Drosophila melanogaster: one gene and its partner. Changing the gene in region 1 together with any one later gene gives a genetic interaction. Each region holds a gene or a part of one and is shown on either strand. Other genes may lie near its edges.

Region 1 (11,161 bases):
ATGAGCAAAAAGAACACCAAGTAATTTACTCTGGGTAACAGCATGCCGTTTCAACAGTGACCGAAAATTTCCTAAATCGCAAAAGGGTAAAACAAATTAGTTGACTTCTAAAAGCGAAGAAGGGAAATCTGAGTTCAAAGCAAGATTTGCCACGCCCACGCTAATGCTCACATACCGCCAAAAACTGCAACCCGCACTCTTGAAAAACGTGTTAATTATACCCGTTACTCGTTGAGTAAAAATCTTTACTAGATTCGTTGAAAAGTGTGCAACAGGCAGAAGAAAGCGTTTTCGACTATATAAAGTATATATATTCTTGATCTGGATCAATAGCCGAGTCGATCTAGCCACATCCGTTTTTCTGTCTGTCCGTATGAACGTCGAGAGCTCAGGAACTATAAAAGCTAGAAGGTTGAGATTCAGCATACAGATTCTAGAGGCAAAGAAGCGGCGCATGTTTTTTTGGCTCATGTTGTCACTCTTTTTTTTCATTTTATTTCCCAATATCTATCGATATCCCAGAAAAACGAATAAATTTCGCGTTTGCATGCCCACTAGTTGCGTAACGGGTCAGGGATCTCGACGATGGCATTCTCTATTCTTTCATATTTATATAAGCCCTATAAATTTCTATAAATTTGCCACAAAAAATTTTAAAGTTCTGCCCACATTGTTTTTCCAGCTTATCCAAACTGCCGTCAAGAACTCTACAGGATGGGTTCAACAAACAATTCATTACTTTCACATTGTCTCAGAGCATATTCCCGACTTACGTGACATGGTTCTGATTGCCGCCTAGGCGAAATTCTCCGGAGATACAGTTGCGGTAACAATAATAGCACCATAAGCACATTTCGTGTTTGTCCCAGCGTTTCTCTATTTTCTGACACTTTTTCATCATTTTACTCACTAAACTTAAATACTACAATGATTTTCAATCGAAATAAAAAAAAGTAACAGATCTAATGGATATTTTAAAAATAATTGGTAAAACAAAAAAAAAAACCTTCAAATTTAGGCGGTAACAAAAATAGCACTGTTTCTCGTAGTTTGCTAAAACTAACCAAAGAAATAAAAAAATAATTCAACAAATGGATTATATCTTAAGAACTATGTTTAAAGAATCTTAATATTTGGTTGCGTGACCTTTTGTTGGCAATGACAGCCGCGCATCGTCCTGGCATGGAGTCCACCAAGTCCTGGCACCGTTATTAAGGAATTTTGCTCCATGGATCCTTGACCAGACCCCAAAGATCATCGTTATTATTGGGTTTGGCTTCAGAAACCTTTTTTTTCACGTCCGCCCAAAGGTTTTCGATTGGATTCAAGTCGGGTGACTGAGCAGGCCAGTTCATTCCTCGGATCGATTTCTGCTCTAACCACTTTCGAGCTTTCTTGCTCGTGTGTTTTGAGTTGTTATCCTGTTGAAATGTCCAAACCAACGGCATTTCATCCCTTCCATATGGCAGCATCACATTTTCCAGGATATCTGTGTAAATGTGCTGATCCATGATGCTTTGAATCTAATGGATCGGACCTACTCCATAGTATGAAAAGCACGCCCATACCATTATGTTTGATCCCCCGTACTTTACCGCCTTAAAGGTGAAGCGAGGATTATATTCAGTTTGTGGTGGACGCCGAACATAAGACCAAGAGCCTTTTCCACCGAACAACACAATTTTGGTCTCATCTGACCACAAAATGTTGTGCCACTTCTCCACAACCCAGTCCTTGGGAATCTTGGCATATTCGGTTCGCTTTGCCACATGCTTAACAGTCAAAAGCGGGACTTTTCTTGGGCTGCACGCATTAAGGTTGTTTTGTCCTAAGCGTTTGCGAACAGTTTCCACGCTTTCAGCTATCTGAAGCTCCTTCTTGAGTTCCGTCGCCGGCTTAAAAGGCTCCTTCTTGCCTTGCCGAACCAAGCGCTTGATCTCCACGTTGGACATTGAGGGCTTTCTTCGCCGTGTTTCGTTCTTTTCGACAAACAGCAGTGCTTTGCGGATCATTTTACTTGAACAACCGACAATGCGACCAATTTCAGCGTATTTTTTACCTTCAGAGATCAAGTTTTTAATCAAATTTCTTTTTTCGACGGTACAATGCTTTCCGCGACCCATAACTAGAGAATTTTTGGACTTCGTTTGGAAAAAAATCAATAAAAACCTTTAATACAACTCATTTTTTCAAAATTTGTCGAAAAAAAACCCAAAGCAATCACTCCTATTAATTTTATTCAGTAAATACGTGGTCAGTGCTATTTTTGTTACCGCCTCATTTCGCGCACTTTAGCAGCAAGTGCCCAAAAACAAAAAGAACCGTTACATTGAGAGACTAAAAATTTCTTGTTCAGAGAGCCAACATATGGTACTTATTATTCATGCAAACTTACTTTAAAAAATATAAACATTTAATAATTTTTTTTAGGAAATGAACTTTCCACCTGCAGTAGTGCTATTATTTTAACCGCAGCTGTATGTGAATGCAAATATGTACATACATACATATGAAAGAATATTGTGAGATAGAGCGGGAAGGAGCTATTATCATTTATTGTAACTAAACAGCAACTAATTGGACAAGAGAGTTTTTAATAAAGCGTCTATTTCTTGAAATGACAGTAGGTCAAGCTGACAATGAACACAGAGAAAGTGTTGCACAAACAGACTGTATATAGATACAGTCCGTTCAGAACCATTTACATGCATACTTAAATTCCTTACAACAAGATTACACAATTATCATATTAATTTTTTAATGATTCGTATGAATATTTTACAATTTGATAATATTTGTAAGAATTTGTAAAGTTCTATCATAATGGCACTAAAAGGCCTTCGTACCAGGGATATTTTAGTACTTGCACACAGTTTGAGTCTGTGAGGTCCCATAAAGTTCATCACAGCCACATTTTTGCGAAGTGTTGCCTATTCCTTTGGCGGGGACGCCTGTGTCAATACTTTTGTTACAATTTTTTTTAATATGCTTAAAATATTATTGTTTTCCGTTAACAAAATCTTGCCCATTTCTCGAAAACAAATCATGACAATTACATTTAACCAATGTTTCTTTAATAGACAAATAATTGGGTATTATTGTACTTATTGTTTTAGAATTTTTGGCTACCAGGAAAAATAAATTTTTACCACCTTGCTAGAAGCTGTTTTTGTTTAACATAAAAATTTTAAAAAAGGCATTTAAGGTGTTTGATTGGTTGGTAGTAATACCAGAATACCTCATACTTTGAGCAGTAATGGTTCTAAAAGGAAATAGCTATTGTTATGCTTAAATAGTTTATGGCCTCTGACATTAACCGAACGCTACAAACCGTTTTGGTATAGTATCCCAATGAAATTTGAAAAGAAAATCGAATATTTTATACACATATTTTAATAAATTGTTTGAAGAACATTTGTTTTAAACTTTAACTTAAGTTACCTTAATAATTTGAAATTCGGATTTCTCGTGCGACTATTACCATGGCAGCTATGTATATGATAAGTAGACCAATTTTCATTTAGGTCCAGCCAAAAGCAGATATAGCAATTTCGATCCAGTTCCAGCCGAAATTTAATATACTGTATAAACCAAAAATAACTTTTTGATCAAAAACCCCGAAGGTTTCGACTATTTCTCTCAGCTACATATCTACATATATGATTCCATTCCGACTTATATTCTAGCTGCAAATTTAAAATATTTTGGGAATGTTTTATAAAGACATCTTTACGCCTGAAAGACTTGTATGTGTAGAAACGCAATAGTTTTTTAGACTTGTGGACGAAGCAGAATCACATTATTTTTCCTTTTACATTCTTTAGAACGAATGTAGTGCACATCTTCATGAGAAGGTATTCGAGGAAAGGACATGCAGATATTACAAGACGATTAATTACGTTATAATGTGCTAGATTTAAAAAAAAAATGAGGCTGTCGGATTAGCAGGCGATTCTGATCAGAAAAATGTACTGGTTCTTACATTAATATTAGAACAACAGTTTGTGCACAAGCAACCGTAACTAAAACACAATTAACTGAAGATTTTTGTCTACTTTTTTGGTAAGACTTGTTTGTATATTCATATAAGGTATCAACAAAATTTTTAAAGGGTTCATCATCACTTAATAACTTTAACAATTAAATCTAGGAATTTCCATTGTTACTTATTTTCTCTTTCTCGCTCTTTCGCATGCAAGTGCCAGCTATGTACACAGAAATCTCAAACACAAGTTAGTTAGCTTAACTACCAAAATTAGACTGACTGAAAATTACTGAAAAGGGCTAGAAGGTAAAGAAAAACCTGACCTGACCTGAAGCAAGGTCTAAAAACAGTAGCAGCAGATAATATCAGGAATCAAGCATTATCAATTAGGCATGCCCACGCCCTGCTGGAACCCTAACGTATCATGCTGCTTCTTCACCTCGTCCTGCATTTCTAGGGCCAGCTTCTTGTACTTCTCCGCTTCCTTTTCGTTCTTCTCGATCCCATCGCCCCGGGCGTACATCTGGCTAAGATTGGCACACGCATACATATTGCGAAGCTCGCAAGCCTTGTGGGCAAACTGGAAAGCCTTCTTCATGTCTTTTAGAACAATATAGTCGGAGTCCTTTAAAGGCGGTTGTCCGGCGGGGGGTGATGATGTACCACTTCCGGAGGATGCAGTGACAGCACTCTGATCCGCCTTCTTTTGCACGCCCGAGATGTGCATCCCGGAGAGATAAAAGCAGGCAGTGGCGTTGTTCAAGTCGCAGCTTTTGGTCAGAAACTCCAGGCCCTGCGGGTGTTGTAAAATTATAATGTCAAATCACAAAATCAAATAAAATTTAAACACTTTTCTGCTGGGGTCATATTGAACAGTTTTAAATTGGATCAAACTAAACTATATTCATACATATGTCTATACATCCATTGGAACATAATCAGAAAATTACAATTAAACGTTCAATTATCTGGACACGATACGAATGACTTATGATTTCAAGGATCAAATGAGAAACAGGTGGGGCAAATGAGAGAATGTACTGCAGCACATAGTTGCACTTTAAGCAAATTGAACAGTTCCAAGAGCTAGCCTTTTATTGAAGGCTTGGGACCGTGATCGCCATACGACACCTTTACCTTGGGCACATTCCAGTCGATCTCCCTAGGCATGGACTTTGAAACGAGCAGCAGGCCGGAGTGAAGACAGGCGTCCGAGTCGTTTAAGTTACAGCCCTTCTCGTAGTACTCGTAGGCCACTTGTGGATTCCCCTTGCTACCGCTCTTGCCTTTTCCAAGGAAACTGTAGTTGCCGTATTTGTAGCAGGACTTTGCGTAACCATAGTCGTCGCAAGTCGACTTGTACACCTTGGAGGCCTTTTCAAAGTCTTTCTTGATGCCCTCCAAGTAGTCGCCCAGCAAGTGGCACGCTGCAATGCAGAACGCCAGTTAGCTATCTCATAAATGCAATGTCTTCAAGCCCCGCGAATTGTCCTCCCGCACATCGGAGGTTATAGACCTCAATTGTTTTTGCCGCCGTCGCTATCGCTGCCGCCGCCGCACTCACCTTCCGGCTTCTTCTCGGAATAGCACCCGAATCGATATTCCACGCCCAGCTTTTCTACGTACTCCTTCACGTCTGACTCCTTCTTCAAGTCATAGGCCATGGTCAGCAATTTTTAATAGATAACAACCAAAAATTATTATGTTATGCTTCGTCCGGACCCCTGCGTGCTTCAGTGTTAGTAACGTGCAAAATATCGATTCATCGACACCATACTGCATACATTCGATGGTTTTATTGATATCGATGTTAGGCTATGCATCGATATTTTGCTCATAATTAAAACATGGTTTAATTTAAAATCGCTTAATTGTATTTTCTATCTTTCATGTATGACTGCGGCGACATTGAGTTCTCGGCCTTGCTTGAGGCCGCAGTGTGGCCAGATACGTATGTGACTTCTCGCTTATTCAACATTTATCGCCGAGTGCCATTACAATAGTGCTGGTAGACAGCCACACTGGCGGTCTCGTAAAAACCTAATCTTTTCGATTACCTCTTGTTTTTTTTTTGTTTTTCCGTGTCCTCTGAAAACTGATGCGTATCAAGGTAGGACACCTAGCTATTGGGAAACCACAATGAGCTCGAGCAGAACGAGGAACGGCCCCACGCTTAATTTCAAGGCGGTGCTGCTGGGCGAAGGTACGTTTAGCAGCTAAACAAACCTAATTAGTTCCTGAAAGCTTTAACCCCTTAATTGTAGGTTGTGTGGGCAAGACGTCGCTGGTGCTGCGCTACATGGAAGACCGGTTCAATGCCCAGCACCTAAGCACCCTGCAGGCTTCCTTTGTCAGCCGCAAGATGTCCCTGGAGGATGGGAGAAGGGCGCAGTTGAATATTTGGGACACGGCTGGTCAGGAGCGGTTCCACGCCCTGGGACCCATCTACTATCGCGGCTCCGATGGCGCCCTGCTCGTCTATGACATAACGGACCGAGACTCGTTCCAGAAGGTCAAATCCTGGGTGCGGGAGCTCCGGCAAATGCGCGGCACGGAGATTGCCTTAATAATCGTCGGCAACAAGACTGATTTGGAGGAACAGCGAGCAGTAACGCACGATGAGGCCCTTCAATATGCGCGCACGGTTGGCGCTCAATATGTAGAAACTTCGGCCAAGGAGAACGAGGGGGTGGCTGAGCTCTTCGAGCTCCTGACCCAGCTGATGCTGGAGCAGTTGAGCCAACGGCAACCGGATGCGAGTCCACTTCGCCTCCAGAATCCGGATACGGATAACCTTAACAACTCCGATGACTCGGAGGCCCCGGATCCCGGAGATCCTGCGGGCCAGCGGTCCTGTTGCGGCATTTAGCCGTTCCCATTGTGATAGTAATCATAACTATAAAATAGTAGACCTTTAACCGATGTTGATCTTGTGTATATATTATACATAGATAGATATAAATATAAATACGCGTATTTTTATTATTCCCTATTATGGATCTTTAAAATCCTCACACATTTTTGTTTATTAATAAATATAAATATGTATTTCATTCGATTTTCTTGCCCTTCCTGAGCGCCCAGTAATAAACAATCTTGTACTTGCACTTATCTTGTTTTGAGGCTTTTTGGGGGCCGGGCTGAATCATCGTTATCAGTTGAGGTGCTAATGGCTCTGCAAGGCGATAGGTGATTAATTTTAAACCGCACCAAGATTACAGTTTACGGCACTTTAAATATATGGTGCAATAGAAGACAATACATAAAGTTTTTATATATTTTTTCATAATTTTATGTAACGATCATATCATCGCAACAGCTTCTCCTATTAATGAAATTAATTGAAATCCAATTTCAAAACTGTTTTCGGCTACAATTAGTTACATATATAAGTATTCTAGTTTTATTTTGTTATAACAAAAAGTGAACGAACATATATGTATGTATTTACCCATTTAAGAATATATCCAATCTATAATATTCGGGCTATGTATGTACATATATGATAGTCTTCCATTTTATAACCGTTACTCGTGGTGTATATACTAGATATACTATATACTAGATTCGTTGAAAAGTATGTAACAGAACAGAACAACAGGCTGAAAGAAGCGTTTTCGACTATATGAGGTATATACATATATTCTTAATCAGAATCAATAGCTGAGGCGATCTAGACATGTCCGTCTGTCCTAGAGATATACATAGATGCCTCGCGAGATTGTTGGCCATATGCTGCCAAGCCCACTCTAACGCCCACAAGCCTCCCAAAACTGCTACGCCCACACTTTTGAAAAATGTTTTGATTTTTCTTGGTTTTATTGTTTGTTTTACCAATTTCTGTCGGTATACCAAAAACACTTTTGCCACGCCCCTCCTTACACCTACAAAACACCCAAAACGGTCACGCCCATATTTTAAACAATCAAACAATTTCTTCTAATTTTATTCCCCAATATCTATATACATATATATATGCCAGAGAAATGATGAAATTCGCGTCCCTACACCAGAGTCGAATGTCCAGCAGATTTCGCAGATTTGCGACCTCAGATTCTGAGCTCCATTTAGCTTTCAGTTAGTAGTCCTGTCTCTTCTAACTCGGTTCCTGAAGCGCTGCCTGGGCCATGTGAGAAGTGCGAGAGCCAGAAGTTTGATTCCAGGAGGTGGAGCTACAGGGCACGATATCTCTAATCTAGCCCAATGTTTTTCCAGCCAGGGTGGAGTGTGAGCTATGTATGTTTGGTAGTTGGGTTTCAAGAACATATCGGACCGGCAATCAATAATGGACTGCCTTATCGGGTTCGCACCTTTCGCCAGGGAACTACGGCTATTGGTACAGTGAAGGCGGCCAACAAGTTGCACTCAGCTATTTATATAAGGTGTTTAAATCGGTATTTATCAAGCGTACTTATGCCGTGGGGAATGTTAATTTTGTGTGTCTCTATCAATTGTATATAATTCGTAATTTGGTTTCATAAATACGTAAGCAATCCATCGCCATCTTTTTTATGTATTTAGGGAGGGTTCACTGTAGCTTCGAAGTACCTGGGTTGTTATCTGGTCGAGTTGGGCACATGTCGATGGCTGTTCGATCGGTACGGTTGGCCTGTGGGCCGCGCGGCGCTCTCCTGCTGCTCCTCCTTGTCTTACTCGGTGTCTTAGTGGTTCTTCACAAAGTCACTCAGTCACCGCTCCTTAATCAAAACAAAATCCTGCAAGATCACTTAAGGGGCCAGCACGAGCGGTATATCCAATCCACCCGTACCATTCTCCTCTGGACAGAATTTTTTGGTGATTCGCGATGGAAGCTTTCCTGGGACACTTTGGGACCGCAGGAGCTGCGGGATGAGCTCCACTGTCCTGTTTATCAGTGCGAGATTAGCAACCAAAACGCATTCCTGCCCGCAGTGGAACTCTATGATGCCATTGTATTCCATGCGGCGGAGATGTTTCCGCTCCTGCGACCAGTGCCCTCCCAGAGAAGCCCCCACCAGGTCTACGTATTCGCATTGATGGAACCGCCTGGGGAGACTAAGCCGGCTGGACGACGAACAAGGATTTTATAACCTCACCATGACTTATCGCATTGACTCGGATGTATTTTGGCCCTACGGGCAGTTGCTGGACATCACAGCGGACGCCGTGGTGGCGCCCAGTGTGAAACCACCTTGGAGGAAGCCTCCTGTGGCCTTTAACGATTCTCTGGTTTGGGACCTCTGGTCGGGGAAGACGAAAACGGCCGCCTGGTTCGTCTCTCATTGTGAAACGTTGTCGAAAAGGGAGGTCTTGGCCAATAGGCTTCAAGAATTTTTTGAAGTGGACATTTACGGAAACTGCGGAACACTCAGGTGAGGACCTTTTAGCTGAACAAAATTATAATGCAAAATGCACATGCAGCTTTCTTAAGCTCTCAATAAAAGTAAATGATTAAAAAACTTAATTAGTTTTAAATAGTACATACCAAAAGCATATGCATATTTTTAGACTATGATATCTGCACTCAAGTTCGTGAAAGTTTATGCTTCATGACCCCGCAGCATGACAATGCCACACTGCACAAAAGTATGTTAAAGTCGCTCGCTAAGCCTGCAGAGCCATTAAATGTAGTGGCTGAGCAGAAACTGATGCTGTTATTCCCTGTGGTTTTATGTGCATATGTATATTAAAAAAAATGTCTAAGAAATTTCAGATAATTCATTTTGGTAGTTTTGCCGCTTGATGGAAAGTTTTTATTTGTCGCAAATTCTTTACTCGTATCTCATTAGCTTGCAACTAAAGAACGCAAGTTTAATGAAATGCCTTAAGTTGGGAGCAACCGGTAGGCATGCAAACTGCTTGTTTTTTAAACGCAGATGCTTACTTTCTAAATATTAATTATATTTCAGCTGCACCCGGGGGGATCCGCACTGCGCCGAGATGTTGGACACTGACTACTTTTTCTACCTGGCTTTTGAGAACTCGCTGTGCGATGATTACGTGACGGAGAAACTTTTCGACGCATTAGAACGGACCGTAATACCCGTGGTTTTTGGCGGAGCAGACTACTCCCGCATCCTGCCTCCGCACTCGTACGTCGATGCTAATCGCTTCATGTCCGTGGAAGGTCTGGCCCAGTATATGAAGCTTGTGGTTGCAGATCCGGATTTGTATGTAAGCTACTTCTGGTGGCGCAGCCACTACCGCTTGACCTACAGCTCCCCGTTTTGCGACCTTTGCGCCAGGCTCCATGATCCCTCATTTGGCCACAAGACACAGTTCTACCACGATATCCAATCCTGGTGGTTCAACAGTTGCCGCTTGCAAAGCCGAATACGTTTGTGAACTGTGCGCGCATTAAAAAGAGATAGATAACCAGAAACACAGGAAAATCGAAAATGAGAGAGACGCACTTTGAGTTTCCCGCATTTGCCTTAAGTGGGAGAAGGTCAGCTTACGCATGTAAATAGGTATTTTGTTGGGAATTATTTTAAAACAAACAAAAAAAAAAAAATACTTGGACCGTTTGTATTTTAACAAGGTGTATAACTTATTCGTATTAACAAAAAAAAACGTTTTAGTTCCAAGTAAAAGTATACTTCAATGTGAAATTCGAAAGGGATGTTGAACAAAGACTTTACATCTCGTGCTTGTCAACTTTTACTGCAAATCATTTTGAATCACTTAAATTTCATTTCAAGAAATTTTCCCTACGTTTTAGTGGAGAACGTGGAGATAAATATGTATAAAATTGTTTTATTGAAGTCGTCTTTTAAATTTAATCAAATCAAATTTAAAACTATTGCAGATTGTACTGAATGTGATTAGCTGCGATAACATTCAGTCCATAATGCTTAGCTAGAAACCACAAAGATTTGTTTAAAACTATTCTTAAATTGCAGTCTGAATTCGGCCAGTGTTGTGGCATACGGAAAACAGATAAACTAGCTGACTCGCTTGTTTTTCTTAAAAAATTGAAGGAGATATTTCGATTTTTATTCTATATCGCAATCAGCTTAATTTTTGTTGCTCTGTCAATCGATTGTGTATTTAAATACATAAGTATTATGCAGCTTTGTTGAACATAAGAAAGCCGAAGCATATAGGTTTAATGTGGGACAAAACTAGGCAGTATGAATATAATCTGATGATTATAATGATAATGAACCTCTCCATTCTCTGGAGAATATATGAATA
Region 2 (13,173 bases), on another chromosome or scaffold:
GCTGGACCAGCCACTCCGTGTGCTCTACAAGAAATGGGAGAGAACCAGTTACGAGCTGGAAAAGCTTCAGGCCAACCCTGAGTGCGCCGAGGCAGAGTACAATAGCCTTGAGTATCGCCAAGCACCTCAGTATAGGGGACCTCAGAATGTGCAGGCCGAGCTTACTCTCAAGCGATCCTCCGCCCCAGTTCGCGTGGCCGTGCTCCGTGAGGAGGGTGTCAATAGTGAGCGCGAGATGATGGCCTGCCTGCTGAGGGCTAACTTCGAGGTGCACGATGTGACCATGTCGGATCTTCTTCAAGGTAAACTCAATGGTAAATTCTAATAAAGGGGGAAGTACTAAAGCAAATAATTTAATATTTCAGGCACCGCAAGCGTGTCCCAATACCGCGGACTAATTTTCCCGGGCGGCTTCAGCTATGCGGACACTTTGGGATCCGCCAAGGGCTGGGCAGCAAACATCCTCCACAATCCCCGCTTGTTGCCTCAGTTTGAGGCTTTCAAGCGTCGTCAAGATGTGTTCTCCTTGGGCATTTGCAATGGTTGCCAGCTGATGACACTTATAGGATTTGTTGGCAGTGCAAAGAGCGAGGTGGGCGCAGATCCCGACGTGGCCCTGCTCCATAACAAATCGCAGCGGTTCGAGTGTCGTTGGGCCACCGTGAAGATTCCAAGCAATCGCTCCATCATGCTCGGAAGTATGAAGGATCTGGTTCTTGGCTGTTGGGTGGCTCACGGCGAAGGTCGCTTTGCATTCCGCGACGAGAAGCTCATTAGCCACTTGCAGTCGGAACAGCTGGTGACATTGCAATATGTTGATGATGTAGGCAAACCGACGGAACTGTATCCACTTAACCCGAACGGTAGTCCTCAGGGAATTGCTGGCCTTTGCTCGTCGGATGGACGTCACTTGGCCCTCATGCCACATCCCGAGCGATGCTCCTCCATGTACCAGTGGCCCTATGTGCCATCTTCATTCGAAGTTTCCCCCACACAATCGGAAAGTCCTTGGCAGATTATGTTTAACAACGCGTACAATTGGTGTGTCAAGTCGAATCAATAGATATTCTAGATGAATTGAAAGCAGTTAAATAGGTTCTTGGCATTTATGACCTGATATATCTAAATACTATATACACGAATTTGTTTACTATTTTTATAAAATAAACTTAAACACTCAAACAACTTTAAAACTCAAATAAGCGTACTTATGAGTAATGTCGTCGCAACGAATAGAAATGAAAGCTAATGTGAAATTTGTAACAAGCATTTAAGGTAGTTGGCCTTGGCTGTTGATGACGCCATATACTTGGAGTTCCAGTCGTGCTCGTTGATCTGCATCACTTTGTAGCCCATCATCTCTAGATGTCGCATCTTCAAAGATTCAGGACCCCGCAATGCAGTCAGATCGTTTTCACAAAAAGAGTCGAGCTTGAGCAGTAGTATTGCCACTCTGAAATTGGAGTCATTAATGAAGTACCTGAATAAGGTAACTTCCATTTGTGTGCCTACTTGGTTATGCGATCCAACATGGTTGCCTCCACGGGAGGTGCTGGGATGGGATTTTTATCCCGATCGAAATGTATCACAAAGTCTATTTGGTAGCCGTAGGGTGTAGTGTGGTTGCAGCGGAAATGCTTGTCATTTTGAAGAAGCTGATGCAGCAGCTGCTTCACCTCTGTTGTGGACTCACTGGGTATTAAGGATTCTAAAAAGATAATATGATAAAGAACGCCTAATACAGAATTGTAGTTATATGTTACTTTTGCTGATCTGCGCCTCGATGTAGTTTTGTTGAAACCAGGGCACATTCGCCTCGGGAAAGTCCAGGCATACTGTGCGATTCAGTTGCATAACCAGGTTAAGGACCCTCTCCGGATACGTTGCTTTTGAGTAGCATACTTGTATCTCATCCTCGATTCGCTGAATGAATTTCACGCAGAATACTTGATTGATTAGCTGCTCTGGTATTGATTTGTAAAAGCACAGTGCTAGACAAGCCTGGACAACCGATAAACCGCTCATCTGGTCAAAATCTCTGATGGAAAGATTACATTTTAGATCTGCCTCAAGAAATGTTTATGCCCACCTTAGCAGTACTTCGGAGGCGTGGTTTAGAGCCTCCACGGACGCTGGCATGTAGCCCAAATTATACGAGCAGGTCAACACTTTCTCCACTGTGTCGCCGGAAACGTGATCATGCTGTTCGGAAATGTAGGCGAACATGGACTCCAGGAGCTCGGGAACAAAGAAATTCGAAGCGTTGAAGTTGTAGGCCATGTCCCGAACCACCCGAGAATTGAGATCGTTGCAGTGCAGATTTTTGTACTGCGCCAGGGCCTGGTTGTAAACCACCGTATTCTTTAGCTCTGTAAAGGGATAAAATTGTTTAAATTTGTTTATATTTCAAATGAACCAAAGTTATCAACTTACTCTTGCGATGACTGAGTGTTCTGACAATCATGCTCAATTCGCTGGCATTTAGAGGGTCCTTTTCGGCATCTCTCAAGTGCCTCTCCGCACAACCGATGAGAATGCTGTCCATTGTGGACAGTTGCATGCCAGCTAATGCCGGAAGATGCTGGCGAAACCTTAGTTCGCTGGCTATTTGCATGCCGCGACTGAGGAGAAAGCAATCCTGAATGCCAAGCTGGGGCGCCATTGCGAGCATTTTGCTTAACAAAAAGTTGGGAAATTTCTTCCAGGCCAACGGAGTCTGCCCGTAAGCTAGCACAAAGGATGCAAGTCGTGCGAACTTCGCTGGCAGCCTTCCCGCTATGTCATGCTCAATAGCATTCATGCACATGCGACTTAGCTTTCGTTCCAGTTCTAAGTGACGGTAGGTTCCTCCCAGATTGTTATTAAAGTTCATATAGCGTTGACAGTGTCTCAGGAACCGTAGGTGCAAATGCTTTTCCGGACAGGACTCCAGCTCTTTTACAACTCCTGACCAGTATGTGTTGCAGAATTCAATGTCGGAGACTTTTAGTGCACGCAGAACGCTGAATAAATGTCCGCTCGCATTGGGTTGCTGCCAGGCCTCTTCGGAGTAGAGCAGTTCCTTAAACTGATGCAGATACTGGTCTCTCTGCAGTGGCGTTGCAAAGGGAACTGCACAAAACAGGGCGTCAGCAGTGCCTTCTTCCTGTAGTAACTTTTCAAGGGCTTTCTTGAGCGGCTCTATCAGTGCGGCGGGTTCTTGATGATGCAAAAATGTGCGACAAATGCTCTTTAGATCTGCAGACTCCATCTGGTGTATGCAAGGTCGCAAGACCAGCATGACCTCCCGAATCAATTGGGTGTGGGTCTGCGACCACACTGGAATATTCAGCATGTGGATCACCTTCAGAAGAGCCTTAGGGGTTTCGCTGCTGAGGACGCCGCTTTGCATCATTTCAGTCAAGCGCAACTTGAAGCGCGTAAACAGCTCCTCATCAATGAGAAAGTGTAGCTGAAAGAGGCACGTGGACAGAAGGCGAACCTGCTCTGCGCTGCGACACCAATTGATGTGATGTTCCAGGTGCGGAATAAAGTTCCTACACACAAGCGGAGTGAAGAAGTCGCGTTCCAAGTTGATGCCCACCGAGAGGCGAGACAAGGAGGTCAAGGGAATGACTTCGTCATCAACTTGTGACTCGATTAATTGAAGAGATCTCGTCAGCACGGCCTCCACGACTGCCTCGGAGTTTGGTATATGCATTTTGCGCAGGTACAGGTAGCATCTACTGAGATCATCGATCTCCAGTTGGTGTACATAAGGGGCCAACTTTGGGAGCACGTTAAGCAGCACGCGATCCGTGATGGCATCTTTACTTGCCTGCTCCGCGTCGTGATAGATGTTCCACAGCAGTGAGATTCCCATCACCACATGGGAGCTCTGCAGGCCGTCACAGCTCTCCAACACATCTAAAATCTGGTTACCCGTCTTGGCCTCCTCCAGTCGGGTTAGAAGAGCATCCTGTTCCCGTGGCACGCCAAACTTGTCTTGGAGATCTCCGTTCACCAGCTGCGAGTGCTTCCTCAGTTTTTGGCCCAATGCCGGCAGCAAGGCAGCTGTTTGGATGGGCGGCTTTGCGCCAATGTTAACGTGCCGTCGCAGGAGCTGAAGCTGACGCACTCGCAGAAGGTATTGTAGGTACTTCCATTGTGTCCGCGGCAGGTGGTTCAGATACATGCCACTTTATCTCACGCTTATTCAGAAATCGTTGAATAATAACAAAATTACGCCGTATAAACATGTGAGTGAATTTTTGGCGATCAGCTGGTGTCGGTGTTGCCATGAAATCCTAATTTCCATTATACTGAAACCAATAATGGAATCAATGTGTAAAAAAAAACTTAAAATAATTTCTGAACTGTGATTAGCGGTATACAAGTTAGATAAGTAATTACTTAATTCGTAAGTAATTTGTTTATTTCGTCAAAAGTTTCATAGTGGCAACTCTAGTTTTCAACAGGTTGTTGACGAGTTGACATTTCTGTTTGTAAGCAACAGCTGATAAGCAGCTGACCCTAAATAATTTAATAGGCTAGAGCGTTATCGTTGTTAAACAACTAAACAATGGCATACACTGATCCTGCGCAACGAAACCAGGTGACCGTGCTCCAGGTCGGCTATTCTCGCCAAGAAGAAGGAGACGAGTCCGCCATGCGGGCTAACTGCACATGCACACTGGTCCGCTGCCGGGATGGCACCAACATAATCGTGGACACACTGACGGCCTGGGATGGAGATCACCTGCGTTCGTTGTTGGGCCAGCAGGGACTAGGCGTCGATGACATCCACGTGGTGGTCTGCTCTCACGGACACTCTGACCACATCGGTTGCAACTATCTGTTTCAGAAGGCACGAATGCATTTGGTCGGCGCATGTGCCTCACATCACGACCTCTACATGGACCACCTTGGTAGTGGTAATCCAGACGAGCAACTGGCCCTAGATTCGAATGCCGAGGTGGTAGTGAGGCGGTCGCCAGGACACACCCTCAGCTGCGTTTCAGTTCTTGTGGAAAATTCCCAGCTGGGTGGACGGGTCGGTATCACCGGAGATCTCTTCGAGCGTCGCGAGGACATCGACGATGAGAACATTTGGATGGACGCTGGAAGCGAAAACGAGAAGGTGCAGCGCGAGGAGCGCAGTAAAATGGCACAACTGTGCGAGTTTATAATCCCAGGACATGGTCCGATGTTTTCTGTCACACAATCAATGCGCTGTAAACTTAAAGAAGACGCCACTTCTAACACTTAATTTATTAAGCATTAAATACATATGTTAGAGATTTTTTTAAAAGCGGAATTGTTCTAGCTTTCCTTGATTACCAGTTAAATGTCTGAAATAAGTTGATTAATTCCAATACATAAAAATCAAATTTTCCGCCACTACATAATGTCCCTTTGGTACTTTTGTCGGAGGAATGGGAAATTATTCCAGATGATTTTATATTGCGTGAGTTGGCAGCACTGCTGCATGAGTTTTGGTGAATTGCATTTAGCTAACAATTGGAAAAGAAAACACAGCTGCAACCAGCAACACAATAGCCAAACACCACTCGTGTCCATCCGAAAATGGATCCCTCCGCGAGCCTGGCCGACAAGTTGGCCTCCAAGACTGCCAGCAGCAACTCTCTGGACAGCAGCTCCAAGTCCAGTTCGCTGGGCTCCAAGCACGGTGGCGGAGAAAACGGCATTCTGCGGGACACGCCCTTCGGCTATCTGGAGGGCGAAGAGGACCAGGACCAGAAGAACGACGTGACCTACGTGTGTCCGTACCGCGGCCCCGTCTTCGGCGCTCTTACCATAACCAACTACCGTCTGTACTTCCGGTCGCTTCCCCTGCGGGATCAGGAGCCGCCCGTCGTCGTCGACGTGCCTCTGGGCGTGATCGCGCGTGTGGAGAAGATTGGAGGTGCCACGTCTCGCGGTGAGAACTCGTACGGCATCGAGATTTTCTGCAAGGACATGCGAAACCTGCGATTCGCCCACAAGCAGCAGAATCATTCGCGGAGGACGGTGTTTGAGAAACTGCAGGCCAACGCCTTTCCGCTCTCGTACAGTGGGCGCCTCTTTGCATTCGCCCACGCCGCGGCCAACTCTGTGAACGGTAACGGAGGCTGGGACGGCTGGGCGGTATATGAACCGCTGGCGGAGCTGCGCCGCTTGGGCGTTCCCAACGATATGTGGCGGGCGACCAAGCTAAACGAGTCCTACGCAATTTGCGACAGCTATCCGGCCGTGTGGGCTGTGCCCAAAGCGGCCTCCGATGATTTCCTGAGGCGCGTGGCACAGTTCCGATCGCGCTGCCGCCTGCCGGTTTTGTCCTGGATGAACCCACGGACTCAAGCGACCATTACAAGGTGTTCCCAGCCGCTGGTGGGTGTAAGTGGCAAGCGAAATTCCGACGATGAAGCATACCTAAGCTTTATCATGGAGGCGAACGCCCAGTCAGACAAGTTGACCATCATGGATGCGCGACCAAGCGCCAATGCGATTGCTAACAAGGCCAAGGGCGGCGGCTACGAGTCAGAGGACGCGTACAAGAACGTGGAAATCAACTTCCTCGACATACACAACATCCACGTGATGCGGGAGAGCCTACGCAAAGTGAAGGAGGCTTGCTTCCCCACCACCGACGACTCAAAGTGGCAGACGGCTATTGACAACACACTGTGGCTAAAGCACATTAGGTGCATCCTGGCCGGCGCCGTTAGGATTGTTGACAAGGTGGAGACCATGAGCACCTCCGTCGTAGTTCACTGCTCCGACGGCTGGGATCGCACAGCCCAGCTGACTGCTCTTTCCATGTTGCTGCTCGATCCGCACTATCGCACAGTGCGCGGTTTCGAGGTTCTCATTGAGAAGGAGTGGCTCTCCTTTGGCCACAAGTTCCAACAACGCATTGGTCACGGCGACAACAAGCACTCGGATGCAGACAGATCTCCGGTGTTCCTGCAATTTATCGATAGCGTCTGGCAGGTTAGCCAGCAGTTCAACAACGCATTTGAGTTCAACGAGCACTTCCTGATAACCATCGTGGATCATCTGTACTCGTGCCGCTTCGGCACCTTCCTCTGCAACACGGAGGCCGAGCGTGTGGCCGAAGGTTAGACTGATTGCTGTTTGCATGGGCTTGGAAGTAATTTTCACATTTATTGTAGATCTCAAGCACAAGACAACATCCCTGTGGACGCACATCAACTCGTCGCTGGACCAGTATTTGAATCCACTCTTTCCCTCGTTCACGCACGGCGCCGAGCTAGTGCTGCGTCCGATTGCCAGCGTGAGATCGGTCCGCTTGTGGAAGGGCCTATACTGTCGCTGGAATCCTGGTCTGTGCGCTCCTCAGCATGGCTGCCAGCGAACCCGCGAACTGCTATCCAAGCAGGACCAGCTCTTTAAGCTCGTCAACGAGCTGCGGCTCAAGTCGAACAACCGCAGCAACAGCATGCAGACAACTACGCGACTGGCCTCGCCTATGCACTAATAGTATTGCTTTTTTATTCCCCCTACTTGTACGCATATGTAGTGCACGTATTGTGAACTACGTTCTAATTCCAAATAAAAGTTTTTCTTAAATGGAAAACTAGTCGATTCAACATTGTATCATTGAACCACATTATCGAATCTAATTAAAGTGTTAAATGTCTGAGAATGTTTTAATTATTTCATGAATAACATCATATAGTTCAAATCGTATAGCGTTTTCGCAGCTCAGTGGAGCTACTTTTATATGTGCCTTAAACTAGTTTGGATGTCAAAAAGATACCTAAACAGGTGACCAACTGTTGCACGCTCCTTGTGATTCATTCATAAACACCGCTTCATAGAGGCGCCTGCGCGTTGGACTACGCACGTTAAATCCCGAATCCCACTTTTGACACCACAGGACACAAAACATTTCGGCTTTGCGCCAAAATTAAATCACAGCTGCCTCAGTACGACATCGCACGTTCATTGGGACAGACGTGTTCCGATTTCCGGTAGGAAAAGGGCAGGTGTTTGTAAAATATCAGGAAATGCGTTCGGAACTCTTAGAGTTCCGCAATAGATATTAGTTATGCCTACTAGGATATGTGTGCTGTTTGGGCTTCTGTGCCTCGCAAGCTTATGCTGCGGTAGTAACAAGCCAGGAGAGGTGCTCCTGGTTATCGCCTGTCCCCCGCATCCTCAGCAGGCCAGAAGTGATTGTTTAGCCTTATCGCACAACGTGCTGGAGCAGCAACGGGCACTGGAACTGGCGGGGATCTTCCCCGAGGACTTTGTCCTGAAGGTCCATGTGATGCATGAGCTCTTTAACTCCTGGACCATGCTGGACGCACTGCCTCATCTAAGAGCCCAGGCACGTGTGCTGGGTGCGCGCACGGAATGGATTATATGGTGTCAACACAACACGCGTGTGTCTTCGTTGCGCGGCCTGCTCGAGCAACTGCGTCGCCAGAACCCAAGGGAGGTGAGTTTGTCACTGGAGGCCACAACTGTGTCCTATATCCTTGTGCCTCCTCCAGCTAGCTTTCTATGGGCACGCCCTTTACGATGCGGAGGCAACCATCATCCACCACTTCTCGAACTACAAGGATCCCCAGCGGTTTCCATATCCCATGCTCAGTGCCGGAGTCGTTTTCACTGGTGCTCTGTTGCGAAGGTAAGTCCTTTTTAAATGGCATATGAAAGTAAGTTATTACAAATGCATTGAGAAAGAAGGGATAAGTTGATTTAAGTATTTGAAATGTGTCTCGACAATTGGTAACTCGAACATTGTTTTACATTCTTGAATGAATCACTTGTTACCAGGTTGGCGGATCTGGTTGCTCCTAGTGGCCAAAACATCACCGTTCACAGCGATTTCTCCATTGATGCCTCTCACGAGCTGGCTCGCTTTATTTTCGACAATGTATCGCCCGACCCGCATATTAGCACCCCGATTTCCGGAGGAATCCTGCTGAAAAGTGCCAGCTACATATGTTCCACACCCACGTCCGTGCCAAACAGGAAACTGCCTTGTCTGCTGCATGCGCAGCCGGAGGAGCCACTGACTTTGGGGCAGCGGAGAAATGGCTGTGTAAGTTTATTTATGCCTGGCATGCCTTGTTGCAGCAAAATCATATATCATGCTAAGGGGCTTTTGATTAAGATGAGGTATTTGCAAAAATGTCAAAATTTCGTTATTTTGCATGAATGTTTTTAAGTTTACCTGTTTGTACTATTCAGTACTATTTTTTGAGACACCTGTGTTTGAGATATGCTTATCTAAAAACGGACAGCAAACCTTTAAATCAAAGTTCATTGAGTGCTTAAAATTTAAAACCCACATACATATAGATAGCAGATTCAAGATTCAGCCCGAGCAATTAGCATTTGAAACCTCCATAACCATAAATTGTCTATCGACCCCGAACTGAAACCCTCCGTTTCCGCAACTGCCGTATTTTGGCCACCCCAAAACCGGACGAGCAGGAGCACACAACAGGATCGCATATATACTTCGCCATCAAAACCTGTGCGAAATTCCACAAGGAACGCATACCAATCATCGAGCGCACCTGGGCAGCCGACGCCCGGAACAGGAGATACTACAGCGATGTGGCAGGTGAGCACCCCGATGACAATGAGCGGGCAATTAAACCGAATGGGTGGGGGATCAGGAGCAGCGGGCGGTGCACCAACAAAAACACAGTGACAGGCTGACTAAACACATCCACACAACCATATCATCCATATATGGCTGGGCAAACAGTGAATTTCATCCAGCGTGATTGGCCATTCACCACTCGAAATTCCCAGCCCAATTCCCCAATCCCCTGCAGCGCCCGGTGGCGAGGAGTCCACTTATTGAATATTCATTGATTTGACTTTCCGTCTTTCCGACTTTCCTGCTCCTTCTGCCCCAACGAAAACCTCAACAGACGTCGGCATTCCGGCAATCGGCACTGGGATACCCAATGTGCAGACTGGACACTGTGCCAAGACAATGGCCATTCTGCAATTATCCCTCAAGGACATCGGCAAGCAATTGGACATCCGCTGGCTTATGCTCGTCGATGATGACACGCTGCTGAGGTGAGACTCAATTTACAGATTGATTGATAGGTATGAATGGGGATACTTTGGATTAGCCACTTCCTCGGAGGTTCAATAGCCAACTCCATGAATTGATGGCCTTATTATTACAGACCGCTGCTGATCCGAGATTTATTTTTTTTAATTTATTTAAGTAAAGCCAGCTTTGCACTGTGTATTGCGATTGCTACCCTATAAAGTAGATTGTATATACATTGTCGATCCGTTTTGAACTTGAAACTTAAGCTCTCATGATAATTTATGTTGGTGGGTTCCCTCATATATATTTTACGGCCTGAAAGTCGAAATCTTCATTATTCATAAACTCCACCGAAAGGGTATTCCAACTTCGGCTTGTCGAAGACTCTCCGCTCTCTCGTTTCCAATTATATTTTCCGACTCAATCGCATGACGGCGCATTCAATTAAAAATGATTATATTGATATACCCGGTTCATCGGGTAGCCTTCATTTGATTCACACCCATTTGCCCACCAGTGTGCCACGCGTGAGCGCCCTCCTCTGCCGCCACAATGCCACGGAGCTGGTGTACCTGGGCCAGCGCTATGGCTACCGGCTACACGCTCCCGACGGCTTCAACTACCACACTGGAGGAGCCGGCATCGTGCTCAGCCTGCCGCTGGTGCGGCTCATCGTGCAGCGCTGCAGTTGTCCCAGTGCCAGTGCCCCCGACGACATGATCCTGGGCTACTGCCTCCAAGCGCTGGGCGTGCCGGCGATACACGTTGCCGGAATGCATCAGGCTAGGCCGCAGGACTATGCCGGCGAACTGCTGCAACTGCATGCGCCGCTGACCTTCCACAAGTTCTGGAACACGGATCCGGAGCACACCTACCGCCGCTGGCTCGGTGGCAGCATGGTCAACCGAAGTGCCCCGCTGGCAGCACACAAGGAGCAGCCCGCTGCCGGACCACTCCACATGACGATGGGGCGACATTCCTTGGCCGCAGGCGTTGGATTGCTGCAGCAAACGGGACTGGGCAAGCACCTGGATCTCTGAGCCGCTCTGAGGTGAGTGGGGTGAGTGCTGATGGGCCAATATCTGCCGGAGTCAGTTGAACAGAAGTTGGCGGGCAAACCAGAAAAGCAATCTGCTGGCAGTCATCAAGCGGCTGCCAAGCACACAAATTCTCATTTTCTATAGACCGAAATTAAAATTGGGACTGGTTTAGTCGCAACTCTGTGCATTCGTCTGTTTTGCGGCTTTCGTGTCAGTTTAATTAGTAGAAATGCTCAAATGTGGCTGCGATTTTCCTTGGCGTTATTTGGGCTTGGAAAATATTCATTTTCCAGCATTTCGGGGACATTTTCCGCTGACACAGATTCGAGACGTTCTAGGGCAGCTTAGAAAACGCAGCTCAAAAGTGAATCTGGCCAGTGACATTACTGCCACAAAGAGGTTAATGCAGGACTAGAAAAGCGATCCTTAAATTGGATTAAAGAGCTAAGCAATTTAAATCACATCTTTGTTATATCTTTGGGTTGAAAGAACTACCTTGCTTTGCTACCTTTCTTTCACTTTTAATATGCCACTTTTCCGTGAAAACCTGCCACTAGTATAGTGGACAGATCAATTTCCCAGCAACGCAATGCATATAATTTGCATTCGATTCCGTTCGACGACACTTTAATCACATCGCAGCCCAAAGTACCTGCTTAAATCAACATTTTTTCGCACCTCGGCCGCACTTTGACCTCATTAAATGCAAATTTTTGAGGCTTCAAGGGACGAATTGCTGAATACTTCACTTTCGAGGGCATCAACAGTTTACGCTTGAGTGCACTTTTCGAATGGCTGGCATGGCACTTGGGTGGTGGCCACGTTGTACCGCCATTCGGCCATCCGCCCAGCGCGTATCCTTCGGATAAACAAAGGGGTCAATCTGTACGGAGCGGAAACTCTAGTCGAGTACTTTAAGTGCCATGTCTGCTTACTTATCTGGCCCTCTTTAAAGCGCCCAATGCATCTATTATTCAGGACTAATCAATAGTTTTCACAGGTCACCGAAGCCACGAAACAATGTCAGGTGTTTTCCAAATAGGCGAAAACAATGAGTCAATTGGTTAGTTTATGTAGTTTGTTGACAGTCAAAATTGTCGGTATTTAATTGGCGTTGAATTAATAAGCGACTTCGTGAAAGTTTTTGTCACTTATAGGAATTGTTTATTTGGCTTTGAGCATTGGCAGTGGAACTTAGATATACAAATGAAAATCATATGACTCCAAATAAAGCAAACAATGAATGTTTTTCCACCTTTTGGACAGAATTGATAATGAAGTTCATAACTCGTTCATTTCAAAAAGATATTACTAAGTACAGATACAAGGATTGTGTTTTTCCGCTTCCGGTTGAATTAATGCAATGAATTGCTGTTAATTTATCCTTGTGGCTGCCTGTTTACTTGACCCCCTCGAAGTAGCTTATCTCGCCCACGGCAGAGGATGCTGTCGTATCCGAATTCCTGTCCACTACGTGCAGCCTTCTCGTCCTAATTAGTTGCGGATTTTTCAATGAACACCAGGAGAAACCCCAACCCTCGAGCTAAAGTTAACTGCAGCAGCCACATGACCGTACTGCGACAAGTTGAATTTAAAACCAAATTTAATTTGCTTAAATGCCGCATGTGAATGGAGGCGAGTGTGCCCTTCCAGTTGATTTTGGTTGAGACTCACTGGGAGAAACCCAAAAGGTACTCCTTTTCAGGAGTTCATTGCGCCAGCTGAAGAATCTTGAAAGATTCCACGGAATTTGGTGGAATTTTATATGAGATTTTTTATATTGGATTTCTATGGATTCTAGATGGATTTCTTCGATGAAGAAATGTAGAACCATCTAATGTTAACTTAACTATGTCGCATCCTTATGATTATCAGCTTACACTTTATTTGATTCGCATTTTCCACTCCAGCAGCTTTGGACTTCAGCGAAAACGGTTTAAAAATGTTGCGCATATCATCTCGCGTTGGAGGGGCACGTAGAATTTTTCGACTTTTGCATAAAATTACAGTTTGTCCTGCAGATAGACACTAGTGAAGATTACATGGACACATGGCTGTTGCCTGTGGCTTTTTGGAAGTGGATTACGCCGAACAATGTGA

What was found.
Region 2: of Rab21 (region 1) and mtm, changing one suppresses a phenotype caused by changing the other (phenotypic suppression), as found in Drosophila melanogaster (one study listed by BioGRID).

What each region holds. Positions count from the first base shown.
Region 1 is NC_004354.4:23,008,070-23,019,230, reverse strand, and holds Rab21 (Rab21), read left to right. Parts: upstream 1-5,821; 5' UTR 5,822-5,936; intron 5,937-5,966; exon of another isoform or gene 5,967-6,095; 5' UTR 6,096-6,124; coding exon 6,125-6,188; exon of another isoform or gene 6,189-6,249; coding exon 6,250-6,854; 3' UTR 6,855-7,091; downstream 7,092-11,161. Other genes in the region: Coa7 (cytochrome c oxidase assembly factor 7), read right to left, coding at 4,368-4,778, 5,123-5,412, 5,550-5,649.
Region 2 is NT_033779.5:6,029,204-6,042,376, reverse strand, and holds mtm (myotubularin), read left to right. Parts: upstream 1-5,361; 5' UTR 5,362-5,565; coding exon 5,566-7,099; intron 7,100-7,154; coding exon 7,155-7,480; 3' UTR 7,481-7,646; downstream 7,647-13,173. Other genes in the region: Pfas (phosphoribosylformylglycinamidine synthase), read left to right, coding at 1-302, 366-1,063; CG31643 (uncharacterized protein), read right to left, coding at 1,246-1,453, 1,513-1,708, 1,764-2,038, 2,090-2,369, 2,434-4,174; CG9117 (uncharacterized protein), read left to right, coding at 4,562-5,248; CG9109 (uncharacterized protein), read left to right, coding at 8,054-8,446, 8,502-8,638, 8,788-9,055, 9,451-9,583, 9,900-10,053, 10,518-11,073.